4 linked regions of the Pelodiscus sinensis genome follow. The protein of the gene in region 3 binds, or shares a complex with, the protein of the main gene of each other region. Links are inferred from orthologs where the notes say so. Each region holds a gene or a part of one and is shown on either strand. Other genes may lie near its edges.

Region 1 (7,730 bases), on a different chromosome or scaffold from region 3:
AAAGGAATTAGAAGTGTGTTTCTTTTGCAATTTAGTAAAATGTGTTCATGTTGGCCAGTGAAATGACATTTTATTTCCTGCTATTAGTGCATGGAAAAGCTTCTACATTTTTAAATACAAATGTCAAAGAATCACAGAAATTTAGGACTGGCGGGGACTTCTTCAGATCCCCTGCACACAAAGCAGGATTATTTCTTTTGTTGCAATTTAAGCCCATTTCTTCTTGTCCTACTTTACATTCCTCCACACTACCTTCATTTAAAGACAAACAAATCTAAAATTTGGCCTAAATAACTCGATAACTTCCATATAAAAATACAATTATTTGCACTATATAAAACTTGGAAACATTTTAAATATTAGCTTTCCACCAAGATTAAATTCCAGTGGCCTGATCCTGCAAATAACTATGCCCCTGAAATAATTATGCTCAAGTGCATAGTTCCAACTGAGATTATGAGCATGACTAAAGGAACCTGGATGTATTTACAAAACTGGGTTTTAACTAAACACATTTAACAAAAAATATAATATTGTTCCAGACTGTTATGCTGATGCTGTAAATTAACTTACCTGCACATTTCCCCTTTAAGATTCCCTTCATTTTTCACAGCTATGTTATTTTCCTCCTTCACTGTTGACTTTGCTCCTTTTTGCCTTGAAGATCTACCTGGCAGGCTATGAATTCCAGTGTCACAATCTTTTTTCTTCTTTTTATTTCCAGCAGGAACTTTTGAGAGACATTTCTTCAGACTGAGCTTTTCTCCTTCAAAATTATCTGTATTAGATCAGAGGGGAAGGAGATATGTCAAAAAGTGAAACCATAGCTCCACAGAACTCAGTCAATAAAAAAAAAAAAAAAAAAAAAAAAAAAAAAAACTCTCAACAACTTCAATAGAGCTAGCATATCACTCACAGGCTGCAGAGGAAAATGCAGGTTTTGCATTTTCCTCTGCAGCCTGTGAACATATTGAACATATTGTCCTAGAAAATAATTTTCACAAATATGCAGCATTAAGCAAAAAGTGCATTTGAAGCAAAACCATCATGGAAATTTCACAGCCCCAAATAAACAAAATGGATAATATCTGCCCTTATCAATAATGGTGGATGAAAAATAAATATTCTACTCACCTACAGCCAGAGTTACTTTTCCCAGACAAGTGGAATTTTGCAAGACTGATTTAAATCACCTCTTTTATGAGGATTCTCTCTCAACAATAGCAAGATGCTTTCCTCATCACACCTGGATCAAACCACTGTGCCCGTTGCAATGGGTACATTAAGTGCATATGAGATTAGAATGATGGGCAGAATTCCCTAATGAAATGTGCAAAGTTTTCCTCCTTTCTAGAATATGGCATGGTTTGACAGAATTGGTATCCATTATATAGGAAAAGTTATTTTAAATGTAAGAAGTTTCAACGTGACTTTGTAAGGAAAAAAATGCCACTTATCTAATTCAATATGGGTTATTCAATATTCCTGGGAGGCTGCTGGTGTCCAACCTAACATACAGATTGTTCCTGGAAACACTCACAAACAAGATCAGTCTATTCATGCAGGTAGCTCCACTGAAGTCAATGCATGAGTGATGGAGCTAGTTGCATAAAGTTGCTTAAGTGTTTGCAGAATCAGGGCTACGACCACAATGCATTCTTGGTCAGTATAGTAGAGAAGGGCAGCAGACGTAATTTTGAAGGAGCTGATTTTTTTCCAAAGCTGCATTTCGTCATTTACTAGCTGAATACTCCTCTGCTTGTGACTATGTCTGACATTCAGCTCATTACTTAATAATGATCCCATTTTGGAGAAACTTTTGCAGGTCACTTTTAAGATGTTTTTATTTTCTAATAAGCAGTGATTATCTGTTGTAAACATACAGCTCCTGGAAGCCTGAGAGAAGCAAGAAAAGTGGAGAGAGATTTCTGATGTTATAGTCTTATGATTTTTATGCCAATCCCCATACATTCCAGGGGGTCTGAGTCACATTTTTGAACATCTGGGTCTGGCAATACTGCATTTATTGCTGGACATTCACAATGGGCCCAATTCTGAAAGCAGTAATATTGGTTCAAATCCAATGAATTTTTTAAAAAGCAACTTTGAGAGAAAATGTACTAAGGAGAGTGGTTTTCGTACTTTAAATATTTGTTTTAAAAAGGCACTAATATTGTGAATTGATCCATGACACCACACTCTTAGGCCCTAATGGCCTCCAGTCTTTAAAAGGGTTTTGCATATACACAAGGGACATTAACGTATACATATGGGGAGCTAGGGGAAGCTCCTGCATGCATGTAAATGTGTAACAGCTGAATTTTTCAGTGGTTACATGTTTACATAAACAAACACATTTTAACATCCCTAATGAAGAGTTCAACAGAATTCAATCAAGGCCTACAATGACTCTAAAACCATTATTTCTTGAATGGTGTGTTTTTGAGAGGCCTGATTTCCTGAGGCCTTCACTTTCATTGACCAGGAGTTAAGCATTTTGCAAGATCAAATCCAATACAGCAGATAAAGCAGTTAAAAAAAACCACATCACTCTGAAAATGTAGCATTTCATAGGGCTTCTTCTAAATTAAGGAATGAAACAGACTGCTTGAAAGTCACACCACATCATCTTCAACAACTATGTGAAATCTAGAGATAAATACTAAATGAAGATGTGGTGACAGAAATACTAACTATAAGCCTCAATGTTAGATGAACAAGAAATACAGAATTAGGATTTAAGATTATATTGTGTTCCCTTCAGTTAGCCTTTTCCACAAACACATATACAATCAAATTCTACCATTATTTGCATTAAGAATGACCTGAATTCCATGCTTATATTTTACATAAATAATACCCTAAAGATATGCTGAAATTACATGTATTTATTAAAGCTGCCAGCAGTACTCTATCCAGAACCTTTATTTTTCTTAGCTTCATCAAATCATTTGATCCTCCCTCTTTCATTGTAACAAAGGAAATGTTTAGAAATTGTGGATTGTTTCCTGACAGCACTAGAAACTTCTCTCAAGAGAAAACTATTTTGCTTATGTAACATTGAAATGTTGACTGTAATGGGGCTGGAAAAAAAAGCTAAATCAGTCATGATCACATTATACAGTATAAGGGACAACAGATCAGCAGATGGAGTTAAACACCACAAAGAACACTACACTATTTAGTGGCTATGCAAAGAGATTGTGGTTTAAAAGGATTTCATCTGCTGTTTAATATTTCAAAAGCTTTATTTTAGTAAGCTCAAAACCAGCAAATAACTGAGACAAGAACAATTCTAAATAAATGTTTCATTTAAACAAATCCTATAAAAACCCTACAGAAAAAATGTCACAAAATAAATACAGCTATAAATAAACAATATCAGAGAAGTTTGATTTATTCTTCACAGTCTACTGTAATTAGAAATGCACATTGGACAGTAGGCTAGAGGATTGCGTTTAAATGAGAGGAGAGTCTAACAAGACAAGTGAGATTTTAAATGTCCCATTGAAATATGTAGCAAAAATCCTTTATCAGCACAGAGGAATGATTTAAAAGTCATTTTAAAGTAATTCCAAATGAGCATGTTATGTGAAGGGGAAATATTCCTCCAAATGAATTTTCCACCCCCAATCTGCCATCTAAGTTCCAGGGGCTGCTTCTCTTTGATAGTATATTCTCCATGATGCTTATGCAACTGCTCGCAACAGGGTCTGGCTCAAGAAAGTCTTCGTCTACACTCACCCTCTCCTTCTTGCCTGAGAGTTTGGAGGGCCCTGGTGGCTGCTGCAGCAGGCTCTGCCTTGAATTTCTTGCTGCTAGCCTCTTGCTGCAAGGAACCTTTGCGCTTCTTGGCCATGCTGTTTCCTCAAGGCAAGGGGGGCAACCACAGACTGGTGAGGGACACAAAGCAAACCCAGCGGAGATGAAGGCAGCCTCCTTCTCTGGGTGAGGCCTTTGCACGCTCTCCCCACCTCCGAAGCGTACGTGCACCCTGAGCCCTCCTCCTCCTCCTGGAGCTGCAGGAAGGCTCTGGGGAGGCTGGGCTAGCACAGCCGGCTCCTGCCTCAGTCTCCTCCTCCTGCCTGACGTCTCTTCCGTCCCGGCCGGCCGAGAGGCAGTCCGCAAGGGCGGCGGATAGCGCCCGTGGCTGCCGTTTGTGCAGAGCTGCCTGGGCGCTGCAAAGGCCTGTTGGGCAGTGATCACCAATGGCCCCTTCTTGGCCGGGGCTGCTCCCAGCGTGCCCCCGAAGCCCAGCCTGGGCTCACGCCGTCCTCAGTTCATGCCCCGGGGGGTGCCTGCGGGCCGGGGCTGGAGCTGTACTCCGCCCCCACTGTACGCCAGTCCGGGGGCACCGCTGCACTCGGCACGGGCCTTAGGCCGGCTCTCGCGCCCACGGAGCCATTGCCCATTAATTCCTAAGGAGCCCGGGCGGGTGCCTCAGTTTCCCCATCTGTAACAACATGGGGCACCTGCGTTCGCTTTCCTTCGCCACGCCGGGGGGGGGGGGGGAGCTGACGAGCACATCGACAAGCCCCCCCGGTAACGGAAAGGTGGGGGGAGGGAACTGAGGCACAGCTAGGCCCTGTGACCGCAATGGGGAGACGCGGAGGCACAGCCGGGGCCAAATCCGCAGACCAGCGGGGGAACCACGTGGCACGAGCCCGAGCGGTCCGCAGCCGCACACCGCGCCTGCTCCGCCAAGCCCCGCCCCCACCACCCAGCCTGAGCAACGCACCGGCCGCTCTAGCCTCCCTTGGAGGCCGCCCCCCCACGCCAACCGTGACGTCGCCACCCGCCGTTTCTACGCGCCGGCGTCGCGCGGGAAGAGGCGGGGCTCGCGTTTGAAAGATGGCGGACGAGGTGGACCAGGTGAGCGGCTTTTCCTCTCCTCGCCGTTCGGAGCCCGCGCGAGCCCGGGGGGGGAGGGGCGCTTCGGTTCTCCCCTTGCCCTGGGATCCCTCCCGTCTGGTTGCCGTTGCTCTCCGTAGCAGGGACGGTTGATGAACGGGGCTGGATGCGCGAGCGCCTGTGGGGTCTCTCCCTCTTGACTCCCCAGTTTCCCATGTCCCGGCCCTTCCCAACTTGCCGCTCACAGTGTAGCGGAACGGCGGCCCTCCAGCAAAGACACGCTGCATACGGCTCCCTCCATAGCGCGCCCCTCCCCGCCCCTGAGCCCCAGCTCAGCCCATGGGGGCTTGAGCAAGCGTGACCGGAGATGCTTCCGTTTTCCTGGTCTGCCGAACTAAGGCAGAGCAGGCAAAGGGTTAGGGTTTCAGAAAGCTGCAGCCTTTGACTTGAGACGGACTCCATAGTCCCCTGTGGAGCAGCAAATCTTTAACCTCTCAGTACTGCAGCTTACATCAAAACGTTTCCTTCTGTTTCAGTCTTCATTAGGTTGATCTTTGCCGTTAATTGCGTGATTGAAAAACATCGAACATCTCTGTGGTCTTAGTGTCATTTCAGTGCTGGTTTCAGTCTCCTGGAGCCTCAGTATTGGCAGTGCTCTTATCAAGCTTAAGAGATGTATGATTTTGTTATGTTTTGTACTTCTACTGCAGTCTGATTTGTTGAAAGTGAAGCTGAAGAAGTAATGGGGAAGGAATATAAAATACTGGAAAAATTTAAAAAACAACAAATAGTCTAGCAGCACCTTAAAGACTAACAAAACATGTAGATGGTATTAAGGATATTTAAATTGTGGTTAATTGACTAGTCAATAGAACTTCCATCAACTACTCAACTAGCCGATAGGCACTTCTGCATTCTTCCTTTGAAATGTACAAGAGCCCGCTTGGGGCTGCACCCAGTGTGCCTTCTTTGAAATGTACAAGAGTCCCCAGTGGGGGCTCTTGTGCATTTCAAAGCCGTGGAACCCAGGGTCACGGGGAGACTCCCCAGTTGACCCCAGGTTCAGTGCAGCATTTCAGCAGAACCCGAGACAGCTGATCCCGAGATCAGCTGGGGAATCCAGCTGAAACATGGTGGCGGTGTTTCAAAGGGGCAGCACTGCACAGCTGATCCTCAGTTCAGCTGTGCAGCACTGCCACTTTGAAGTACCCCTTCTTCTCCTTCCCTTTGCTGCCTCTGTGATAGAGGTAACAAGTGGAGGTGAATCGGCTAGTTGACTGACTAATCGATAAGCATTTGCTTATCGGATAGTTGACTAGTCCCTAACATCCTTAGAAGGTATCATGAGCTTTTGTGGGTACAACCCACTTCTTCAGATGAATGGAATATACCATTCATTGTGCCCAGGAAAGCTCATGATACCATCTACATGTTGTGTTAGTCTTTAAGGTGCTGCTAGACTATTCGTTGTTTTTTAAGTTTTTCCAGTTACAGACTAACTCAGCTACCTCTCTGAAGCTTATAAAATACTGGATACTTACTCCAGAGATCCCAATGCATTATCCCTTTGGGGCAACGGACCACTATTTCGTACTGTTTTCGCAATGCTGAGTATAGTGGGGCTGAGGACTAGAGCGCTAGGTCAGCAATGGGCAACCAATAATAGTGATTTTCATGAGTTGGACCTCCTTCATCTCAGTGGGCAGTATGACTAGTGGTCTGCAGCCTGCTGGGGTTCCACTTGTGGCCTGCACACCCCCTGTTTGCTCCCATTACCCATGCACCCCTCGCACACTGGGACCCTGTAACCCTGCATTTCCTACTCTTTCCCCTCCCTCCCAGCACTTTTGGAGCACCACAAATCACCTGATTCGCACTCCTTCCCTGCTACTCCGCTCCAGCGTTCGCAACTGTTCAAGCTCTGAGGGAGAGGAGTGAGAATGGGGCATAAATCAGGTGATTTGTGGTGCTCTGAATGGGCTGGGAGGGAAGGAAAGGAGTTGAAAGTGCAGGGCCCAAGTGCACAAGAGGCGTGTGGGGGAAGGAGGCAGACAAAGGGTCTGCGATCCACAGTTGGAGCCCCATTGGACTGCATGTGGGATGTAGGTTGCCCACTTCTGTTCTAGGTGCTACAGTACTACAAATAATTTTCCACCAATGAGAACAGCATAATCAATGGCAGTGTAAACTTCTTTACATCCTTGCCAAAGTATCTCAGACTTGACCATGTGAGCTCAATTTGGAGGATGTAAGCTATATTTTGTACCCTTTCTGTTCAGACTTCTGGCCTGTCCACTAAAATTGTCAATAGAGGGTACCAGTTGTGATAATAGTACTGTCCTCTAGGAAGTTAACTGAAATTTATGTCATTTCATACAGGCCACAATATGCTCATTCTATGATAATGATTTTTGGTTTCTACCAGGTTGGGCTGGACCCAATAACTGACCTGAAAGTGAAAGGTACCTTTATCCTATACGTGAAAGAGACTGACCGGTTTTGAACATAAAATTTTTGAGGCTTTTGTATATCGCAAAAACTGCTGTCTGTATTTTTAGCAACAAACAACAAATACTGTAGAGGAGCCACTGGATCTGATCAGACTCAGTCTAGATGAACGAATCTATGTGAAAATGAGGAATGATCGAGAACTTCGAGGCAGATTACATGTAAGTAAAACACTGCAGAAAGATTTAGTACTAGTATACTTTTAACCATTGAAAGGTACATCTAAAAGCCCAGGCAAATTATACGCTTGGGCTACGTCTAGACTGGCATGATTTTCCGGAAATGCTTTTAACGGAAAAGTTTTCCGTTAAAAGCATTTTCGGAAAAGAGCGTCTAGATTGGCATGGACGCTTTTCCGCAAAAGCATCCAT
Region 2 (6,936 bases), on a different chromosome or scaffold from region 3:
AAACAAGAAGTAGCAACAGTGGGAAATTTTAAGAAAAAATTCTTAGATTTAGTATAGACAAGGTCCTGAGTTTTAAAAGCAGAGCAACATGGTGTGTGCACATGCATATCATTGTGTGAATGCATTGGTAATTACTACGTGCACACACACATAACTCACTCTCTCTCTCTCTCTCTCACACACACACACACTGAGTGTGTATGTAACTCTCTCCGTATGTGTACGTGCACATGTAACACACTGTATATATATGTCTCTGTATATAATAGTGTGTGTATGCAACATACTGTGTATGTCAGGGTCTATGTACGTAACAGTGTGTATGCCTGTGTATAGCACATTCTGTGGATAATATACTGTATGTCTATGTAACACTGTGGGTATGTAACACACAGTGTGCGTGTCTGTATAGATAACACAGTGTATATGTCTTTGTGTGTAGCATATTCTGTAGTGTGTCTATATATGTGACATACACAGTGTATATCTATTGTAACACACACACCATGATGTATGTGTAACATTGTGGGTATATGACTATGTGACATACATTGTATGTGTGTTACTGTGTGTGAATGGTTATGTATGTGACACAAACTGTATGTGTATGTAATACTGTATATCTAATGCACTATGTGGGTGGAACTGGGAGTGTATGTAACATATTTTATGTGTGTGAATGCATATGTAGCATTGTGTGTGGTAGATATGTATGTAACACACAGTGTGTGTGCAGTATTCTGTGGGTGTAGGTCTATGTGTGTGCAACATCTGCTGTGGGTATATGTCTTGGTATATGACACACTGTATGTATGTATTATTTGGTTGTGTAGGTAACACACGGTGTGGGTTCATAGCTGTGTATGTAACACTACATGTGATACAATGTTTGGGTGCATATTCAGATATATGATACAGTATGTGTGTTTGTGTGTCTATGAAAGATAGAGAAAGAGAGAGAGATGTGTGTGTGAGAGACACAATGTGGGTGTATGTCTAGGAATGTGACAGACAGCAGTGTGTGTGCATGTGTGTGTGTGAGAGAGAGACACTGTGTGGGTGTATGTCTAGGTGTGTGACACACAGCAGTGTGTGTGTGTGTGAGAGAGAGACACTGTGTGGGTGTATGTCTAGGTGTGTGACACACAGCAGTGTGTGTGTGTGAGAGAGAGAGACACTGTGTGGGTGTATGTCTAGGTGTGTGACACACAACAGTGTGTGTGTGTGTGTGTGTGTGTGTGTGTGTGTGAGAGAGAGAGAGAGAGAGAGAGAGAGAGAGAGACACTGTGTGGGTGTATGTCTAGGTGTGTGACACAGCAGTGTGTGTGTGTGTGAGAGAGACACTGTGTGGGTGTATGTCTAGGTGTGTGACACAGCAGTGTGTGTGTGTGTGTGTGTGTGTGAGAGATAGAGAGACAGACACTGTGTGGGTGTATGTCTAGGTGTGTGACACAGCAGTGTGTGTGTGTGTGAGAGAGACACTGTGTGGGTGTATGTCTAGGTGTGTGACACAGCAGTGTGTGTGTGTGTGTGTGAGAGAGACAGACACTGTGTGGGTGTATGTCTAGGTGTGTGACACAGCAGTGTGTGTGTGTGTGAGAGAGAGACACTGTGTGGGTGTATGTCTAGGTGTGTGACACAGCAGTGTGTGTGTGTGTGAGAGAGAGACACTGTGTGGGTGTATGTCTAGGTGTATGACACACAGCAGTGTGTGTGTGAGAGAGAGACACTATGTGGGTGTATGTCTAGGTGTGTGTGTGTGTGAGAGAGACAGACACTGTGTGGGTGTATGTCTAGGTGTGTGTGTGTGTGAGAGAGACAGACACTGTGTGGGTGTATGTCTAGGTGTGTGACACAGCAGTGTGTGTGTGTGTGAGAGAGACACTGTGTGGGTGTATGTCTAGGTGTGTGACACAGCAGTGTGTGTGTGTGTGTGTGAGAGAGACAGACACTGTGTGGGTGTATGTCTAGGTGTGTGACACAGCAGTGTGTGTGTGTGTGAGAGAGAGACACTGTGTGGGTGTATGTCTAGGTGTGTGACACAGCAGTGTGTGTGTGTGTGAGAGAGAGACACTGTGTGGGTGTATGTCTAGGTGTGTGACACACAGCAGTGTGTGTGTGTGTGTGAGAGAGAGACACTGTGTGGGTGTATGTCTAGGTGTGTGTGTGTGTGTGTGTGTGAGACAGACACTGTGTGGGTGTATGTCTAGGTGTGTGTGTGTGTGTGTGTGAGACAGACACTGTGTGGGTGTATGTCTAGGTGTGTGTGTGTGTGTGACAGACACTGTGTGGGTGTATGTCTAGGTGTGTGTGTGTGTGTGTGTGTGTGTGAGAGACAGACACTGTGTGGGTGTATGTCTAGGTGTGTGTGTGTGTGTGTGAGACAGACACTGTGTGGGTGTATGTCTAGGTGTGTGTGTGTGTGTGTGTGAGACAGACACTGTGTGGGTGTATGTCTAGGTGTGTGTGTGTGTGTGTGTGTGTGAGACAGACACTGTGTGGGTGTATGTCTAGGTGTGTGTGTGTGTGTGTGTGTGAGACAGACACTGTGTGGGTGTATGTCTAGGTGTGTGACACAGCAGTGTGTGTGTGTGTGAGACAGACACTGTGTGGGTGTATGTCTAGGTGTGTGACACACAGCAGTGTGTGTGTGTGTGTGTGAGAGAGACACTGTGTGGGTGTATGTCTAGGTGTGTGTGTGTGTGTGTGTGTGAGACAGACACTGTGTGGGTGTATGTCTAGGTGTGTGTGTGTGTGTGTGTGAGACAGACACTGTGTGGGTGTATGTCTAGGTGTGTGTGTGTGTGTGACAGACACTGTGTGGGTGTATGTCTAGGTGTGTGTGTGTGTGTGTGTGTGTGTGAGAGACAGACACTGTGTGGGTGTATGTCTAGGTGTGTGTGTGTGTGTGTGAGACAGACACTGTGTGGGTGTATGTCTAGGTGTGTGTGTGTGTGTGTGTGAGACAGACACTCTGTGGGTGTATGTCTAGGTGTGTGTGTGTGTGTGTGTGAGACAGACACTGTGTGGGTGTATGTCTAGGTGTGTGTGTGTGTGTGTGTGAGACAGACACTGTGTGGGTGTATGTCTAGGTGTGTGACACAGCAGTGTGTGTGTGTGTGAGACAGACACTGTGTGGGTGTATGTCTAGGTGTGTGACACAGCAGTGTGTGTGTGTGTGTGTGTGTGTGTGTGTGTGTGTGAGACAGACACTGTGTGGGTGTATGTCTAGGTGTGTGTGTGTGTGTGTGTGTGTGTGAGAGACAGACACTGTGTGGGTGTATGTCTAGGTGTGTGTGTGTGTGTGAGACAGACACTGTGTGGGTGTATGTCTAGGTGTGTGTGTGTGTGTGTGTGTGTGTGAGACAGACACTGTGTGGGTGTATGTCTAGGTGTGTGTGTGTGTGTGTGAGACAGACACTGTGTGGGTGTATGTCTAGGTGTGTGTGTGTGTGTGTGTGTGAGACAGACACTGTGTGGGTGTATGTCTAGGTGTGTGTGTGTGTGTGTGTGTGTGTGTGTGAGACAGACACTGTGTGGGTGTATGTCTAGGTGTGTGTGTGTGTGTGTGAGACAGACACTGTGTGGGTGTATGTCTAGGTGTGTGTGTGTGTGTGTGTGTGTGAGACAGACACTGTGTGGGTGTATGTCTAGGTGTGTGTGTGTGTGTGTGTGTGTGTGAGACAGACACTGTGTGGGTGTATGTCTAGGTGTGTGACACAGCAGTGTGTGTGTGTGTGTGTGTGAGAGACAGACACTGTGTGGGTGTCTGTCTAGGTGTGTGTGTGTGACACGCTGCGGGTGCCTGTGTAGGATCGCGGCGCAGAGCGCGCCCCGCCCGGCGCCAGACGCACAGACCCGCCCCCCCTGCAGGGGGCGGGGACACAGACCCGCCCCGCCCCGCCCCGCCCCCGCCGCGCGCCTGGCTCCCGCAGCGCCGCCCTCCCGCCCGCTCGGCTCCAACATGGCGGCCAGCAGCGCCTCGGCCTCCGCTTCCGCCGCGGCGGCCCCCGGGGGCCCCAACGCGACCGGGCCCGGCGGGGCCTCGGGCCTCACCGCCGCCATCACCGGCACCATGAACAAGAAGAAGAAACCCTTCCTGGGCATGCCGGCGCCGCTGGGCTACGTGCCGGGCCTGGGCCGCGGGTGAGCGAGGGGCCGGGCCCGCCGGGAGCCCCCCCGACCCGCCCCGCCCCCCGGGACCCGCCCCGCCGGGAGCCCCCCCGCCCCGCCGGGAGCCCCCCCGGCCCGGCCCTGCCTGGAGCCCCCCCCCCGGACCCTCCCCGCCCCGCCGGGAGCCCCCCCGGGACCCTCCCCACCCCGCCGGGAGCCCCCCCCCGGACCCTCCCCACCCCGCCGGGAGCCCCCCCCCCGGGACCCTCCCCACCCCGCCGGGAGCCCCCCCCCGGGACCCTCCCCACCCCGCCGGGAGCCCCCCCCCCCCGGGACCCTCCCCACCCCGCCGGGAGCCCCCCCCCCGGGACCCTCCCCACCCCGCCGGGAGCCCCCCCCCGGGACCCTCCCCACCCCGCCGGGAGCCCCCCCCGGGACCCTCCCCACCCCCCCGGACCCTCCCCTCCCCACCCCGCCGGGAGCCCCCCCCCCCCCCGGACCCTCCCCTCCCCACCCCGCCGGGAGCCCCCCCCCCGGACCCTCCCCTCCCCGCCGGGAGCCCCCCCCCCGGACCCTCCCCGCCCCGCCGGGAGCCCCCCCTCCCGGAGCCTCCCCTCCCCACCCCGCCGGGAGCCCCCCCTCCCGGATCCTCCCCTCCCCACCCCGCCGGGAGCCCCCCCCCCCGGACCCTCCCCGCCCCGCCGGGAGGCCCCCCCACCGCGCCCTCCCCCGCCGCCAGGAGACCCCCCCCCTCGGACCCGCCCCCGCCGCCAGGAACCCTTCTTGGGGCATGGGCTTGGTGTCCTTGCTCCTCGCTGGCTGCAGGGTGCATGTGTCGCACTGGTCCAAGAGAGCCGCTCTCCTGGCGCTGTCCGTCTTGTCCACACGGGACCGTGGCACCCCTGGGGAGAATTTAAACCGATTTAGTAAAATCCCTTTGGCAGGACGGCCAGTGGGCTGGACTGTCATCTACTAGGGCAGCGGTGGGCAACCTGCGGCCCATCGGGGTGGTACGCGAGGCCCCTCGGGACATGTTGTTACTGTTTCCATGCGCAGGGTTGCCAAATTCTGCTAATTTGAGTCTGTAGGTTCCCCCTCCCCCCCACAGGTGTTGTTAAAGTGATGCACACACAAAGCAGGGGCATGTGAAGTGAGGTGCATGCTGATTGCACTCAGCAGTGCCTGTGAGAGCCGTGCACTCCCTCTGCATCCAGTTAAGGTGGTGCTGCTACCCTTCAGTCTGCACACTGCAAATTCTTTTTAGGCAACCACAACTAGCAAAACTGCCATGGGAGACCGTCTTCGTTATGACAATTTTGCAGCCCACTGAGATGAAGGGCCACTCGTTAGCTTAGATTGCCCATTACTGCCCTAGAGCTTGTCTACATTTACAGCAGCTGTAGCATCCAGTGCAGACTGCTACCTATACTATAGTGATGGCAGAGCTTTTCCTTTCTAAGGGTATGTCTACACTACCCCCCTAGTTCGAACTAGGGGGGGTAATGTAGTCATACGGAGTTGCAAATGAAGCCCGGGATTTGAATTTCCCAGGCTTCATTTGCATAAAGCCAGCCGGCGCCATTTTTAAATGCCGGGTAGTTCGGACCCCGTGCCGCGCGGCTACACGCAGCACGGACTAGCTAGTTCGGATTAGGCTTCAGCTAATGCCTGGTGTACACTAGGAAATTATGGTGGTTTAACTACCTTGCTCGGGGAGTTGAAAAATCCATGCCTCAGAGCAACACAATTAAACTGACCTAACTCCCCATGTAGATTGCATTCTTGTCAGTTTAGCTACCATCCCTTTGGGAAGTGGATCACCTAAATCAGTGTAGGTATCATCTTTGCTGCAGCATTGTAGGTGTGGACAAGCCCTATAGCCATTTAAATTAACATCACATTTTAAACCAATGCAACTGTCCCATGTGGTCAAGGCCATAGGAGCTCAATGTAAGTAACTCTAATGCACATAGGTGGGTGGACAGAGATGCTGGGGACAGTGGATTTAGGGTTTCTGAGTAGGCACAGCCTTGCGTTACACAGGATGGAGGCTCTCTTTCACTCCATACTCCCCTTTCCCACATCTTATGTATTTTTAAAAAGGAGGTATCCCTGGAGGAGGGGCAGGGCAGAGAGAGAGGATAAATCCTGGGTCCCTCCTACATAGAACTGTCTGTTAAAGAGGACAGATGTTCTGAAGTGACATCATTTAACTATGGGGACCTGGTGACATACCTGTGAATTACAATATTTGTAAAGCCTAGTTTCGGAGTTTAAAACACACATCAGTTTATTGTAGCGCTATTGCTACAGGCTAAATGATGTCTACTGGTCTCTCAATGTAGTGCTACAGGTTTTACCACCCGTTCTGATATTGGTCCAGCTCGAGATGCCAACGATCCAGTGGATGATCGTCATGCTCCGCCAGGGAAGAGAACAGTTGGGGATCAGATGAAGAAAAACCAGGCAGCTGATGATGATGATGAAGATCTGAATGACACCAATTATGATGAGGTGATGGGGCTGTAGCATTCCAGTTAGCTGTTTCCTCCTGGTGGAGGGAGTTACTTGTGATTCTCTCTCCCTCACCCCAGTCCTTCAGCAGAGGATACACAGGCAGAATTCCTTGTAGAGTCACTTCACGCTACCCATTGTGTAGATGCCATTGCTATATTTGTCATTTTAATTTTGATGTTTGCTTATTGTTTGTTTGTCCCTGAGTGTTTTGGGTGGGATCTCAAAATTAAACATGAGTCCTCCTGGTCTGTGGGATGCCTCTGTATTTGATTTCAGTATTACGTATTTTTGTTAAAGGAAGGAAAC
Region 3 (7,964 bases):
TTACAAAAGTAATTACACATTAGATTACAAAAGTAATTTCTCATGAGAAAAGTGAATGATTTGTTATTTGAACATAAAACTCTAGCTCAAAAAAAATCAATTAGAATTGAGCATGTAGCACTCAAGAGAAGCTGTTGAAATAATGAGCAAAATGCAATTTCCTCAAATTAGGCATAGAACCGAGTTCTGAAAAACGCATAAATTATATTAGGAACATTCCCTATATACCAAAAAGTATCAGCTGTCCCCTCTAGATCACAGGTGAGACTATTTCACTTTGGCAAAGCTACAGAGCATGATAACCCACCTTTCTCGTCTATTCTCAGATGTCAATTTTTAGTAAAGTTAAAAAGCAACAAAGAGGGACCTTTCCAAAAATGCATAATTCCTTTTCCCAGACATACCTGGCAGTTCATATTGTCCTCAGCCTCAATGAGTTTGCCACGGTAGACTTCCCCTGTATTCGTCTCGCATGTCACAATGTGGCCTTCTGCCTCATGCAGCACTTTGATTGGAACTCCGATGGACATCTTTGCAGTAGTACTTCTCTAAAACTAGGGGACACACACAAAAAAAAGCAGAAGAGCACAGTAAGTTTCTTTATCCAGAAACTTTGCCTACACAATTCAGATTTCTATAAAAGCTTTAATCCAGAGAATACAAAACTACTGGCTCCTGTTTTTTCCCCCCTATAAATTGAATGTCCTTGAAAAGTGTCAGCTTGCTCAAATAGAATTTTTGCCACCATTAACTATTCACAGAACAGGTCATCAGAATTAAGGCTTCTATACACATTGAACAGCTATATAAATGTCAAACCATTTTATTTTAAAGACCATGTTGGGTCTCAAAATCTTGGTAGCAAGGAAAGAAATGAGACATCTCCAAGTGCCATGGAAGATGGGGAAGAAAAAGTTCAAATTTTCTATATTTTCAGAAGAAACACTGAGGAACTTGAGGAGTTAGTCACAAAAGAGGGTTGAGAGGCTCTTTTCTATATCGTTTTAGTTACATCTACTCAACTCTTCTAACTTTGATGGTCTATACCAACAAAATGAAACTGGCTTAAGAATACCAAAGCAGAGAAATCAGCAATGCTAAGACACTAGCTTGCTACTAAAGAAAGGAAAATAATATTTTCTTTTAAAAACAACAAATAGTTCTGTGGCATCAGAGAAGTGCAGCTGATGAAGAGGGTCTAACCCACAAAAGCTCATGATACGAAAGTGCCACAGAACTACTTTTCTAAAGTTACAGATTAACATGGCTATGCCCCAGACTATTTTCCTTTAAGTTAAAGAAACTGATGCCTTCTTCAAGGAGTGAGTTGTGCCCACAAAAGCCCATGATACCATGTACATGTTTTGTTAGTCTGTAACAGGAAAAATTTAAAAAATATCAAATAGTTTAGAAGCACCTTAAAGACTAACTTGGCTACCCTTCTGTCTCTTATCATCCGGGAAAGAGGTTTCATAGCCATGTTAGTCCCAACACATTGGATAGAAAAGCAGTATCTTTATTAACAGAAGAAGAGCTCTATGTAGCAGGGATGTGAAAGTATAACAATATAGGCTGCAGGTAACCACTGAGGTTTTCAATGGCTATACATTTGCCCAATTACCTCTTTTTAAAAAAAAAAAAAAAACATCGCTACTATGTAGCTCATGAGCTTGTCTCCTTTACTAACTGAAGCTGGTAACAAAAGACATGACCTCTTTCAAATTTGAAAAAAAGGCTAAGCAGCTAGGAAAAAAGTATTCACCTAGTATCCTATGAAAAGGAATAGTGATAGAAATGTAGCTGTGTTAGTCTGGGGTAGCTGAAGCAAAATGCAGGACAATTAGCACTTTAAAGACTAACAAGATGGTTTATTAGATGATGAGCTTTCGTGGGCCAGACCCACTTCCTCAGATCAAATAGTGGAAGAAAGTAGTCACAACCATATATACCAAAGGAAACAATTAAAAAAAATGAACAAATATGAAAAGGACAAATCACATTGCAGAACAGGAGGGGGATGCGGGGGGGGGGGGGGGAAGGAAGGAAGGTAAGTGTCTGTGAATTGCTGATATTAAAGGTAGGGAGAGTGGGATGTTTGTGAGTTAATGGTATTACAGGTGATAATTGGGGAAACTGTCTTGGTAATGGGTGAGAAAGTTCAAAGTCTTGTTAAGTCCTTGTGAAAAGGATGTGTCAAAGCCACTGAGACGCTTTATGGCCCAATGCTGCAAATTCTTATTGATGCATTTATGGACTTCAAGTCAACTATTCATGTGAGCACAAATAATTAAGTAACGTGTCCTAGACCAGCAGGGGTGTTAGTTGACTACCTAATCAGCACAATCTTATGGGGTAGTTGAGTGGCGCATTGGCTGCTGGCTTACGAGGCAGCAAGTGGAGGGAGGGGGATAGGGAGGAAGAAGTGCAGCCAATGCTGGTGGGAGCCAGGCTGAAAGCCAGTGCCCACAGCACCATGTCTGCAGTGCCCCCTGCCTCCCCCAGCCCTGCTGCTGCCATCCAAGGCAGTGGGAAGGGGATCGAGAGGCTGCTCCATCCGCAGCCCCCGCCCCACGCGAGAGCCCCCCCCCCCCCCCCGGCGGCGACGCGGCTGCCTTGGCCGGGCCGGGCCCAGCTCCGCGCGGGGGGGTCAATCTCACTGCACGGGGCTTCCCACAGCCCAGCCAAGGGGCAGACCCGCCTAGAGGCGCGAACCCCCCCTCGGGAGTCACCGCGCGACGGGCCCGGCCGCTCCCACGCGGTCACAATGCCGGTGCGGGGGGGGGGGAGGGGAAGGAGCAGAGCCCCCCCCCCCCCAGGCCCGGCCGGCTCCCCGCACGCGGGGCTGGGTGGTTGCTCCCGCCCGCCACTTACGCTCGGCGAGGCACGTCTCCCTGCGGCGTGGGCTCCGCGTTAGCGCTCTTCAATGGCCGGCGTCCCACCATGCACCGCGCGCGCGGCCGGATGCGGAAGGGCCTGGCCGCCCCAAGTGAGCTCCGCCCCTCCCCCTCCAGTTCGACGGTTGCTGCGCGCACGCGGCCTCAGGCCTCGGCGCCCGGCCGCGAGCGTCCCGCCTGCCGGGGAAACCCCGCCCCCCCCCCCCCCCGCACGAGCCCGGGGGCGGGGCCGCGCGCGGCTGACAGTTGGGGGCGGGGCGGCCTGGCCCTGGTGAGCCGCGCCCGGCGCGGGGTGGGGGCGCCGCTCTCGCCGCCTCGTCCTCGCTCCCCCGCCGCGCCTGAGGGGCCGGGCCCGGCGCTGCAGCTCCCCGCCCGCCCCGGCCCGGCCCGGCGGCAGCGCCGGGACATGAGGGGGCCCCGCGGGGCCGCCCGCTGAGCGGCCCGGGCCCCTCCCGCCGCCATGAAAAGCCCCACGGAGGCCGCCGAGCCGCCCTCAGGTCAGTGTGTCCCGGGCTGGGCCGAGCGGCGCCCCGGGGCTCCGAGCCGCCTCCGAGCGGGGCGCGGCCCTTCCCCCCCCCCCCCCGCGGGGCGTGGGAGCCACGGACACGCCCCTCCCCCCGCGCGCGCGCCCTGTGGCGCGTGACCCCGCGGCCGCCGCCCCGAGCGCGGAAATCGCCCCGGGAGATCGGCCCCCCCCCCCCGGGGCTCGCCCGGCAGCGCGGGGCCCGGCGCACGAGACACCCCGGCTCTGCGGAGAGGGGGGCGCGGGATGTTGCGCGGGAGTGTCCGGCTGGGAATCGCTGGGAGGAGGGGCCCCGCTTTCCTGAGGGAAGGAGCGTCCAGTTCAAAGCCCTCACCCTTGAACTGAATGGTTGACCAGCCGCCCGCCCTGCACACAGGCAGGCCCCGCTGGAGCAGCCCTCTGCCTGGTAAGGCCTGGCCAGGACGGGACAACCCGCTGCGGCACTGTGAGCCTGACCCCTCTGCCACGGCAGGTAGCTGCTCCAGCTGGCGTTATCTAGTCATTCCAGTAAGCATGCAGTACAGCAATGCTTACCAGGAAACCAGTTACCCCTTTACTCCCTGGCTGTGTCTAGACGGGCCAGTTTCTCCGGATAATCCGCCGCTTTTCCGGAAAAACTTGCCAGCTGTCTACACTGGCCGCTTGAATTTCCACAAAAGCACTGACTTCCTACTGTCTGAAATCAGTGCTTCTTGCGGAAATATTATTCTGCTCCCATTCAGGCAAAAAGTCCCGCTTTTGCGCAAAAGGGCCAGTGTAGACAGCTCAGATTTTTTTCCCACAAAAAAGCCCCGATCGCAAAAACGGCGATTGGGGATTTTTTGCGGAAAAGCGCGTCTAGATTGGCACGGACTCAAAGTGCTTTTGCAGAAAAGCGTCTGTGCCAATCTAGATGCTTTGTTCCAAAAAAGCTTTTAACAGAAAACTTTTCCGTTAAAAGCATTTCCGGAAAATCATGCCAATCTAGACGCAGCCCCTATGTTGAACTGGATTCAATGTGAGAACTTGTATATAAATACCAGATAGGTATTTTCCAGCAGAACATTTTGGATTTTTGAATGTATAGTGAAAAGAATCCTGTATCATTCTGGAAAGATGGTAGTGCTCTATCACTGTGTGAAAATACCACTGTTCCAGGAACATATGGTCTGTCTCTACACTATGCGATCTCGCACAAAAGCAGCCATTCTGTGCAAACTTTGATGCCTGTCTACACTGGCCATGTGTTCTTGTGCAAGAAACTGATGTTCTAATGTATAAAATCAGGGCTTGTGCGAGAACTCTGACGCTCCCACTCAGGAGTAAGCCCTCTTGTGCAAAAGCTCTTCCAGAAAAGGCCAGTGTAGACAGGCAACATGAATTTCTTGCACAAGAAAGCCCTATGGTTAAAATGGCTATCAAGAGTTTTCTTGAGCAAGAGAGCATTTACACTGGCATGGATGCTCTTGCGCAAAAGCACATGCCAGTGTACATGCTCTCTTCTGGAAGAGCTTTTTCAGAGGAACTTTTCCGCAAAAGAGTTTGTGTGAGAGAATGCGCCAGTGTAGACGTAGCCAAGGTGTCTTTAACCAGCTACAGGCAGATCTTCAAGGATCTGTCTTCCATGTACTTGCAGGTCTGTCAGATCAGGATTACTGATTGTACCTGCCTAAGATCCATGTTGCTAAGGGTAGTGCTGTCTCCTAAATTAGTGGCTACATTTCATGGATCTGTCACACTGAGCATTTATCAAATTGGAGGTGACTTGCTGTTCAGTTTATTGTGGGGAGCATATTTTGTCACTTCATTTATCCTAAAACTGCTGGTAATCATTCTCATCTAGGGAGCTTGAAAAGTAATGTGAAGCTGGTGTGGCAAAGGGAGTGGAGGACAAGGCAGTATGGCTGGAAACGCAATAAATCAAAGGAAATTAGTTGACACAATAGGCTTGTTATTACTGTTTGAAATTTTTATAGAAGAAAATGTGTTCTCTTTTAGGGACCTAGTGGGGGTAAAGTGGTTAGTGGAAAATGAGATTAGTATAGTCCATCACCAGAAATTTGTGACAAATGATTCATAATTCCTAATGTGAGAGAACTTTGAGGATTAGCATTTCCTTTAGGATAATGAGTTAGCATGTTGATGTGTACTGGCCAGCCATAGACTAACTAAAGACACTTGATGTCCTTGGCAAGTACACTAGTTTTCAAAGCCACAAGGAAAAAGATGAGAAAGTGTAGGGTACATAGAAATCTGAGAAGCTGTGGAAGGAGACCCCAAAATCCATGTTGGCCTCTTTCTGCCAAAAGCATTTTGAGCATATCTTTCCTAGAAAATTACATCAAGTTAAAACACAACCTTGAGGAGTTGCTGATAACCATAACTAATTCACATGTTTAAGACCTCTTGTTCCTGTCTTTACACTGGTCTTTACACTAACTCTGAAGACACAGTTGACATCGCACTAACTCAACTTCTCCTACTGGAGCTCAGTGTAGTGTTCTCAGTGAGTCAAGTCCTCCTATTATTCCTGTTGATCACAGGCTCAATACTTTCTTGTGGCATGGTATGTTTTATTGTTGGATGAACGCTGTGTCTAGGCACATCTTTGATGGAGTTAGACTGCACTGAAAATTGCCACAGTTACAAAATCTGTTTAAATCCAGAGACTCCATTTCAGGCTCACCACAATAAAAGATGAAAACCTATTGCTTCTTCAACATGTCTCTTAGGTTTTTATTACCACTTCATCATCCTACAGAAGTTGTGACCAGGAATAGGTGGATCTGCCTAGTAAGAACTAAGAAGTTAATAAGGAATACAAGGATGACTTTGCTGCAGAACTGGCCAGACCTGTGACAGAGAAATAGTGTCAGATTAAACCAGACACTTAATAGTTAACTTACTTTAACAATTTGGAAATTTACCTCTTTTTTTAAAAAAAAAACTAAATTTTATGCTGAGAAACATAATCTGCTAATGGAACAAAATAACAAGTGTTTCTCAAGTGTCCCAGTACAGCACTTGAGTATGGTTGGTAGCAAGAGGACTTATAATACTAATGTGTGGAAGGATACCACATTTGGGCTAATTTAGAACATAAGAAAGGCTGTACTGGGTCAGACCAAAGGTCCATCTAGCCCAGTAGCCTGTCTGCCGACATTGGCCAGCACCAGGTGCCCCGGAGAGGGTGGACCAAAGACAATGATCAGCGAATTGTCTCCTGCCATCCTTCTCCAGCTTCTGACAAACGGAGGCCAGGGACACTACTTCTATCCCCTGGCTAATAGCCTTTTATGGATCTAACCTCCATGAAATTATTTAGCTTCTCTTTAAACTCTGTTATAGTCCTAGCTTTCACAGCCTCCTCTGGCAAGGAGTTCCACAGGTTGACTACACGCTGTGTGAAGAACTTTCTTTTATTAGTTCTAAACCTGCTACCCATTAATTTCATTTGGTGTCCTCTAGTTCTTCTATTATGGGAACTAATAAATAACTTTTCTTTATCTGCCCTCTCCACACCACTCATGATTTTATATACCTCTATCATATCCCCCCTCAGTCTCCTTTTTTCTAAACTGAAAAGTCTCAGTTGCTTTAACCTCTCTTCATATGGGATCCGTTCCAAACCCCTAATCATTTTAGTTGCCCTTTTCTGAACCCTTTCCAAGGCCAAAATATCTTTTTGAGGTGAGGAGACCACATCTGTACACAGTGTTCAAGATGTAGGCATATCATAGTTTTATACAGGGGCAGTAAGATATTCTGGGTCTTATTTTCTATCCCTTTCTTAATAATTCCTAGCATCCTATTTGCCTTTTTGACCGCCACTGCACACTGTGTGGAAGTTTTCAGAGAACTACCCACGATAACTCCAAGATCTCTTTCCTGACTTGTCATAGCCAAATTAGCCCCCATCATACTCTATGTATAGTTGGGGTTATTTTTCCCGATGTGCATTACTTTACATTTATCCACATTACATTTCATTTGCCATTTTGTTGCCCAGTCACTGAGTTTGGTGAGATCTTTTTGGAGTCCCTCACAGTCTGCTTCTGTCTTGACTATCCTAAACAGTTTGGTATCATCCGCAAACTTTACCATCTCACTGCTTACCCCTTTCTGCAGATCATTTATGCATAAGCTGAAAAGGATTGGTCCCAGGACTGACCCTTGGGGGACACCACTCTCCATTCTGAAAATTTACCATTTATTCCTACCCTTTATTTCCTGTCTTTTAACCAGTTCTCAATCCAAGAAAGGACCTTCCCTCTTATCGTATGGCATGTAATTTACACAAGAGCCTTTAGTGAGGGATCTTGTCAAAGGCTTTCTGAAAATCTAAGTATACTACATCTACTGTAATTTGCCTCTCATGCTCTTCTAATGATGTGTTATCTTTACTACAGCTGACTATGTCCAGTTGCAAGTGCCAGTTCTTCAGCAGTTGTATCACTGGGACTGTGGGCTAGCCTGCTCCAGGATGGTTCTGCAGTAAGTAACTGGTTTTGATTCAAAGGGGTGGGTTTGGGACATGGAAAATTGGGAATGTTGGGTGGGATAGCTGT
Region 4 (7,122 bases), on a different chromosome or scaffold from region 3:
TGGAAATTAGGAAACACTTCCTAACCATCAGGGTGATTAAACAGTGGAATAAATTGCCTAGGGAAGTTGTAAAATCTCCATCTCTGGAGATATTTAAGATCAGGTTAGATAAACATCTATCAGGGATGGTCTAGATGGTGGTTGGTCCTGCCATAAGGGCAGAGGTCTTGACTCAATGACCTCAAGGCCCCTTCCAGTTCTAGTGTTCTATGATGCTATGGTTCTAACAGGCCTGGCTCTGGGGGAGGGGAGAGCACATAGGGCTCCGCACACTAGTTCTGCACTCCCATTGGTGGGGAACCTTTTGCTGGCTGCTTCTGAGCTGCAGCATGGTCTGAAGTGGCAGGAAAGGCAGGAAGCCTGCCTGAGCACCCCCACTGCACCACTGATAGGAAACTGCTCAAATTAAGCCCCTCCTGCCACAGTCCTGACACCCCCAAAGCTGGAGCCCCCTCCTACACTTTAAAGCTCTCATCCTCAGCCCCTCTGGAGCCCATACTCTAGTCAAATTATGTTGGGTTGTGGGTATCAACGATTTTCCTCAACCTCCAAGGCACATCCAGATGTGTGCCACTAGTAGAAAAACATGCTGCCAACTGTGAGGACTCTGCTAACCAGCTGGGTGGCATGTGAATCTCTCCTGGATGGACACCTGAGAACTTAGCTTACAGGGAACAATGGCAGGCTCTGGCTGGGATCCACTTATCTGGATCTGCAAGACTAGATTCCATTTACTTCTACAGATTGCTTAAATTCAGTTACTCTATGACATGGTTCCCAAACTGGGGGGGCGTCTCCCCCTGGGAGGGGGGGGTGAAGAAATTCAAGGGGTGGCATGAGGGCCCCCTCAAGTTTTGCTGCTATTTTTGTTTCTCATCCCCTATCAGTTCCTTCCCCCGCCCCCCCAACAAGTTTTGCTGCTATTTTTGGAGGGGGAGTGAAGGTTCCTCAAAAATCAAAAAGGGGGCATGATGCTAAAAAGTTTGGGAACCACTGCTCTAGGACATATCTAATGCATACACCAAGTATCCAAAAATGTTAAGAGACAAACATTTTAATATGAAATCAAAAGCTTTTTTCGTTTAACTATCTGTTTTTCTAAAAAAAGCTTTAGAATATATACACACACGATACTTACTGCAATGTTTACTGTCTGCTTCTTTCTCAACTTTTTGGGGTCTATCTGTGCCACAACAACATCTGGACATTGTGCTGCTTCAATCCTTCAAACAGAAATAAAAGGTTATATTTGAAATCCCTGAGCTGTATCCTGTAAAACCAGAAACAGTCACAGGTTGAGTTTTCATGAAGAGATACTGACCAAATTCAAAACACATGCACAATTCTTAAGTTATCAATGAGAATCTATCAAAGAAAGAAATGTTAAAAGCAAAAATATTTATTTGGAAGGGTTTTAAAACGTTTTATGAGTTTACAATGTAGACTACGAATGGTTGATAAGTGCCCCCATTTTACAGATACACAGGAGCGGCCTGAGGCAGGCTGCGGCAGCTGTTGCCCCAGGCGGAATGTGTGATTGGCGCCCCTGCCTACAGGGCTGTCAATGGACTGACGTCATCATCAGCCACCCCACTGAAGGCGGCGCCCTAGGCAATAGCTGAGTCCGCCTATAGTCACGGGCCACCCCTGCAGATACAAAACTGCTTAAAGTGAGCCCATGTGTGAGACAGCCATAAAAAAAATCCAGGGCTTCTGATTTCCAGTTTTGTGCTTTAGTTACAAGACCACTTTCCATCATAATCATAAGTAAAGATCACTATAATTTGCAGTTGTAGTTGGTAAAATAACATTCTGTGCAAAGCAATTTGTACCGACTACACCACTAGTCGATGAGGACCGCTATGCAGAACCACAGCAGGGGTAGCTCCAGAAGATGGTTCGAGCAAGGAGTGAGCAGTCCCGGCTCTTGCCATCTCTGGGAGCCACCCACGCTGCAGCTCTGCATTTTAAATATAGTAAGAGATGCAGGGCTGGGCTCTTTCTACATTTCAAATTTAGAGGTGCAGCGTCCCAGACCAACGCAAGCAAGAACTGCACCATCCCGGCTCATGCTGAGTTCAGCAGGGCAAATTGTATCGACTACAAGATTAGTTAGATAACCACAGTTTAACATCCTTAGACGTTAGAGACAAGGCAGCTAAAGGGTTTGGTAAATGGGTTAGGCATAGACGCAGAACCTGGCTCTCTCAATTCCCTGAACAGCACTTATTTCTTAAGGATATCAAGGCCACACTGCACTGTAAACCTGAGCTCAATTAGGACTCACAGGACCCCGGTGCTAGGACCGGCAGGTCTGAGCCGGAGCCCTAGTGCCATTCAGGACCAACCCCTATGATTGTGCACAAGAGCTACAGCTCAAGCCTAGGTCTGCAAAGGTCTGATCAGGGGCCGTACCCAGGTCCAGGGCGGACCCACAGGCGGGATCTGGAAACAGAGGAGACCCAGGCTGACAGAGCAAGGAAGGGGGCGGGGCGGCCCACAAGCGGGGTCTGGGGTCAGCCCCGCAGCTCGCTCAGCGCCCGAGAGCTGCCCGGCCGCGGCTCAGCTCCCCGCGCCCCGGCGGGCTCACAGGCCGCGCTGCCCTGGAGGGGAGCCCCAGCGGACCCTTCCCCCACTTACTGGACCCGCTTTAAATACTCCTGGGGCGTCCGCGGGGGCAGCGAGGGGTCGAAATCCTCCGTGAGGTCACAGTCCCCCACCGGCAGGAGCCGGGGCATCAGCTCCTCCGCCGCAGACTCCATCTCCGCGCGACGGCCCGTGCTGCCCGGGGGCCTCGCAGAGCGCAGGCGCGTGGAAGGACGCCGCTGACTTGCAAGCGCCGTTCGCGGCAGCGGTAGGAGACAACGCATGCGCACTGCATGTTTCCCCCCTGGCAGCTGGGCAGGCTGCCCATTCTGACGGCCGGGGTAGAGCAGCGCGCTGCCTTCCTTAGGGCTCCATGAAGTCTTGTCTGTATGCGTCTGGGCCCTTTCACCCCACGGTCCTGAGCTGAAGCGTCCCTTTGGAGCCTCCAGAGACCATCCGGTTGCATCATGTGGTCCTGGCCCCAGGCTGTAGCAGGCCCGCTGACTCCCGTGGCAACAATGATCGTGCCCAGGGTCATCTGCTGCCAGGAAGTGTATCATTTAGGATCATGACCAAAGCATGGCGTAAAAGGGCGTATTCCCTTTTAAACAGCATCGTGCCTTATTTTCCATATGCTCTTGGGACAAACGGAGGGCATTGTGATTTATTGCAAGTCACAGCTGCAGGACACAAGTCTCATCCCTTCACCCCCAGCGTGCAGAGACAGTGGCCATCTGCCCAGCTGCACCGTCCCGAGGAGCCCCTTCTAGCGCATGCTCATCCCCCCCCCTTTTCCCCAGAGGCTGGATCCTTTCCATAAACTACATCTAATTCAGCGCTCTGGCCACAGGCCCCAGAGCCTCTGCCCACCGATGGTTTAACAGCCCCTGCAGAACAGGGACAGTCTGCCCTTGTGTACCCTGAGGTGGCAGCTGTGGGTGGGTCCAACAGGGCAGGGTGGGAGCAGTCACTGTTGGTCCATCTTCTCTGGCTGCAGGGATGCAGTGAAAGCCTAGAACTCCTCTGGGTAGAAGCGCTTATACGCACTGATCTTGCTCTTGATCTGCTTGGGTGTGTCCTGGTAGTAGTTCTTCTCATCACGGGCCATTGCCTTATAGTTCGTCCTGGTTCCGTATCATGTGCTGCACATAGTCAATCAGGTCTCTGGAAAAAAACCTTTTTCAAAAGAATCCGTATTCCTCATTTTTTCAGGAATACGGGTTATTTTGAAAAAGGGTTTTTTTTCCCCCAAAGGATCCCGTCTAGGCTGCGCTTTCACTTTTGAAAAACCCTTTCTTGAAAAAGTGCTTGGATGCAAATATGCAAATGAAGTGCAGGATATTTAAATCCACGCTTCATTTGCACTTTCAATTTGCTTCATTTACATTCCTCTTTCGAAAAAGGAATGTAGTCTAGACATAGCCTGAGTTTGCTGTCACTATGGCCAATAAATGGCAAAATGAAATGTAACAGTTGGCCAACAGATTTATGTCTCATCATTGCCTTTAGGGGGACTGATGTGTCAAAGTGGAATGATGGATTGGGATTGGAGTAGAGAGTAAGAAGTTTCTACACCATCTTGGCCCCTATGAGAAAACCTCTTGAAGGGCTAACCTTTGGCTTAACATACAGAAACAACAAGCAATATTATATATACCAAACACACTTGTGCCCAGATAGTTCTGTGACGTTAATCTACAAATGGCAGAGCAATTAAATCATCAAAACTCCACTAAATCTAGATAGCTCTTTAATAATAATTTTAAAAGATCAAGGCAGTGTTCTCTAACCTAAATATCAGCATTAGCAAGTATTTTTTTCAACACCAGTGCTTAAGATTCAATCTTTCTCCATTTAAGTCAATAGAGGTTAGTAATTCTTTTTTTATTTCCAACCTGTCTCATCTAGCCGTTCTCCTTTGCTTTCTGCAGAAGGAAAGATAAGTGTAATTAGGAGGCTGATAGGAACTGGACTCTTAGGGCATGTCTACACAGCAGGGCTAAAGTTGAATTAAGCTACGCAACTTCAACTGTGTCAATTGCGTAGCTTAAGTCAAAATAGCTTAATTCGGCTTTTGGCACTGTCTACACAGCAGGAAGTCAAAGGAAGAACACTCTTCCTTCAACTTCCCTTATTTCTTGTGAAATGAGGGTTACCATGAGTCGGAGTAAGAAGTCCTCTAGCTTGACATTATTTCAAAATAAAGGCTTGTAGTGTAGATGCACACTATGTTATTTCAGAATAACACCAGTTATTCCGAAATAATGCTGCTGTGTTAGACATACTCTTTTAGACAGGGATCCATTGCCAGTGTTTTGGGCCATGTCTCAGAGAAATAAACTAACTTTACTACATCTTAAGACCAGTTGTTTTAGTTGAGGCAGCTGTTTTATTTTCTCCATCAAGTGAGAATACATTTCAGACAAAAGATGACACACGCACAGGATATCCTAAATGAAGACTAAGTGGTATTTAGAAAACAACAACATACGTTATAGAGAACTTACATAAAACTTTCCCAGTTCTCTGTGTCAAATGAGAATAATGCTACTTCCCTTCTCTGTAAGGGTCCTTGAGATCTATGGCTAAAAAGCTCTGCACTATTTAAATAAATAAAATAATAATAATAATAATTAATAACTCTAGGCAATGATACAAATAGCTTATGTACTTATTCCTGAAGAGTCAGTGCAAGGATTTTTAAATTTTACAGCACTTAGGTTGTTTCTTAGCTACAATAAATGCCCTATCTGAAAGGCACTTTTGGTTGTTTTTTCTATATTTTAGCAGTTCTGAACAAGCAATGACTTTCAGCTTTCCTCTCCATTCATTTTTATTTGCTTTTAAGGTGTTTCTCATAATTATTTATGTGTAACAGGCAGCTTTACTCTAAAACCAGGATGTAACTTCCTATTAGTGCACGTGACAAGTTTGAACATTGTCTGAAATAAAACCAGCTTAATCAAAACTACATTGGATTTCAGGAGAGTTTGACACAGTGGAAAAGATAAATCCTTAACTTTGTCAAAATGTAAATGGATTTTTTGAAAATATTCATATTTTAAGATCTATGACTTTACTTGGTGTGAAGACAAGAATTATAAAAACAAAGAGAACCAGGGACTTTGATGCAGCAAGCGTAAATGTATGCAACTTTTTAGTGATCTAGATTTTTTTTTCCCTAAACATTTCTAATACTGCTTTTTGAAGCAGAATAATATTATTTGAATTAACTACTTACTTTTAAACTTACTGTTACAGGAAACACTGGTGGATTTCCAAGGTCTATTAAGAGTATCAAGTAACAAGATTTAATAATGGAATTCATGAAATATCTGACAGAGCTCTATATGATTCAGTGGAGGAAGAAAAGAAAACAGCCAGAGCTGAATATTCTCTCTCTTTATCAATTGCCCTGGAGTTACAAAGGAGTAATTTCTTGAAGAAGAGGTGAGTTGCCACCCGTGGATGTGAACTGATGATTCAAAAAACTAACAAGTGAATCTGTAACATATTGCAATAAGGTAAGAAAAGCAAAGTGGAATTACTATGTATAGTAACACCAGGGGATAACAGATAAGAGATTTTCTGACTGTTGTTTTTGGACTCGTTTATCATTCCAATATGTATCTATGTGTTCATCCAAGTACTTTTGCTTCTCTCTAAGGTCCCCATCACTACAAAATCTGTGCATCTTCCTGAAGTGCTATTCAGGGTACAAGAAATGTGGGATTGAGGCCTTATAAAATATTTTTTTACAGTGACTGGTAACAAAAATATTTCATACTTCTTATCCTCAATGGGTTTTCACTATATTGTACCCTCCTGATTTTCCTCCTTCATCTCTGACCATTTTTCAGTGATTGTTGTCAAGTGCTCCTCTCTGATGAGGTTTACAGGGCTACGCCGGGGCTCTGTCCTTGACCCTCATTTCTTTTCTCTTTACACTGTTTCTTTGGGCAATCACTATAACATCTGAGTACTCTCAGAAACCATAATATTAAGGGAATTTTTCATCTGGTTTAACAGCATCTGACAACCAACTATTTGGGGCTCCAACCATTTTTTTTTGCATGATGGGGTATCTACACAGTGCATACTCTCAACTCACACCTCAATATTTCTTCCAACTGATAGTGGAATTAGAGTGTGTGGAGGAACTCAGAATTTCTCCATTTAGGAAACATGGGACCCTGTTTTGGTCTGCAAGCTCTTTTAAGATATGAAGTCAGCCCAGTCATTCAGACCATAAGATGGATAGTATTGAAAATAGTAGTTGTACAGGATTTCACAGCTAAAATACAAATAATAGATATAATGATGTTATGGTCACTGATATTGTTTCACTGATTCTAGGCGGTTATTATCATGTGACACGTTTTCAGATTCTCTGAGAAAAAATGCAAGCAAGATGATAGTGTTTTGCTCCCCACAATGAATAAAATTACTCAGAAAAGACCACAGCTTTTTAAATCCTTTCTCTCAGACTTGTTGGATAAAACCATTCTGGTGTGGTAACATTGCTTTGTAAATTTA

Evidence for each region.
Region 1: SNRPD3 (region 3) and LSM3 share a complex: the UniProt entries of both Homo sapiens proteins name them as parts of the U4/U6-U5 tri-snRNP complex. The link is inferred for Pelodiscus sinensis from reciprocal best matches to the Homo sapiens genes SNRPD3 and LSM3.
Region 2: SNRPD3 (region 3) and PRPF6 share a complex: the UniProt entries of both Homo sapiens proteins name them as parts of the U4/U6-U5 tri-snRNP complex. The link is inferred for Pelodiscus sinensis from reciprocal best matches to the Homo sapiens genes SNRPD3 and PRPF6.
Region 4: SNRPD3 (region 3) and GEMIN2 share a complex: the UniProt entries of both Homo sapiens proteins name them as parts of the SMN-Sm complex. The link is inferred for Pelodiscus sinensis from reciprocal best matches to the Homo sapiens genes SNRPD3 and GEMIN2.

What each region holds. Positions count from the first base shown.
Region 1 is NC_134721.1:22,035,131-22,042,860, reverse strand, and holds the start of LSM3 (U6 snRNA-associated Sm-like protein LSm3), read left to right. Parts: upstream 1-4,713; 5' UTR 4,714-4,851; coding exon 4,852-4,872; intron 4,873-7,409; coding exon 7,410-7,520; intron 7,521-7,730. Other genes in the region: XPC (DNA repair protein complementing XP-C cells), read right to left, coding at 574-778, 3,745-3,859. UniProt on the Homo sapiens protein: Plays a role in pre-mRNA splicing as component of the U4/U6-U5 tri-snRNP complex that is involved in spliceosome assembly, and as component of the precatalytic spliceosome (spliceosome B complex).
Region 2 is NC_134728.1:4,403,099-4,410,034, forward strand, and holds the start of PRPF6 (pre-mRNA-processing factor 6), read left to right. Parts: upstream 1-3,933; 5' UTR 3,934-3,964; coding exon 3,965-4,146; intron 4,147-6,458; coding exon 6,459-6,627; intron 6,628-6,936. UniProt on the Homo sapiens protein: Involved in pre-mRNA splicing as component of the U4/U6-U5 tri-snRNP complex, one of the building blocks of the spliceosome.
Region 3 is NC_134725.1:6,973,807-6,981,770, forward strand, and holds the start of SNRPD3 (small nuclear ribonucleoprotein Sm D3), read right to left. Parts: upstream 3,011-7,964; 5' UTR 2,987-3,010; coding exon of another isoform or gene 2,941-2,986; 5' UTR 2,872-2,940; exon of another isoform or gene 2,866-2,871; intron 555-2,865; 5' UTR 531-554; coding exon 405-530; intron 1-404. Other genes in the region: protein GUCD1, read left to right, coding at 3,763-3,823, 7,806-7,890. UniProt on the Homo sapiens protein: Plays a role in pre-mRNA splicing as a core component of the spliceosomal U1, U2, U4 and U5 small nuclear ribonucleoproteins (snRNPs), the building blocks of the spliceosome.
Region 4 is NC_134714.1:45,327,931-45,335,052, forward strand, and holds the start of GEMIN2 (gem-associated protein 2), read right to left. Parts: upstream 3,015-7,122; 5' UTR 2,871-3,014; coding exon 2,641-2,870; intron 1,224-2,640; coding exon 1,139-1,223; intron 1-1,138. UniProt on the Homo sapiens protein: The SMN complex catalyzes the assembly of small nuclear ribonucleoproteins (snRNPs), the building blocks of the spliceosome, and thereby plays an important role in the splicing of cellular pre-mRNAs.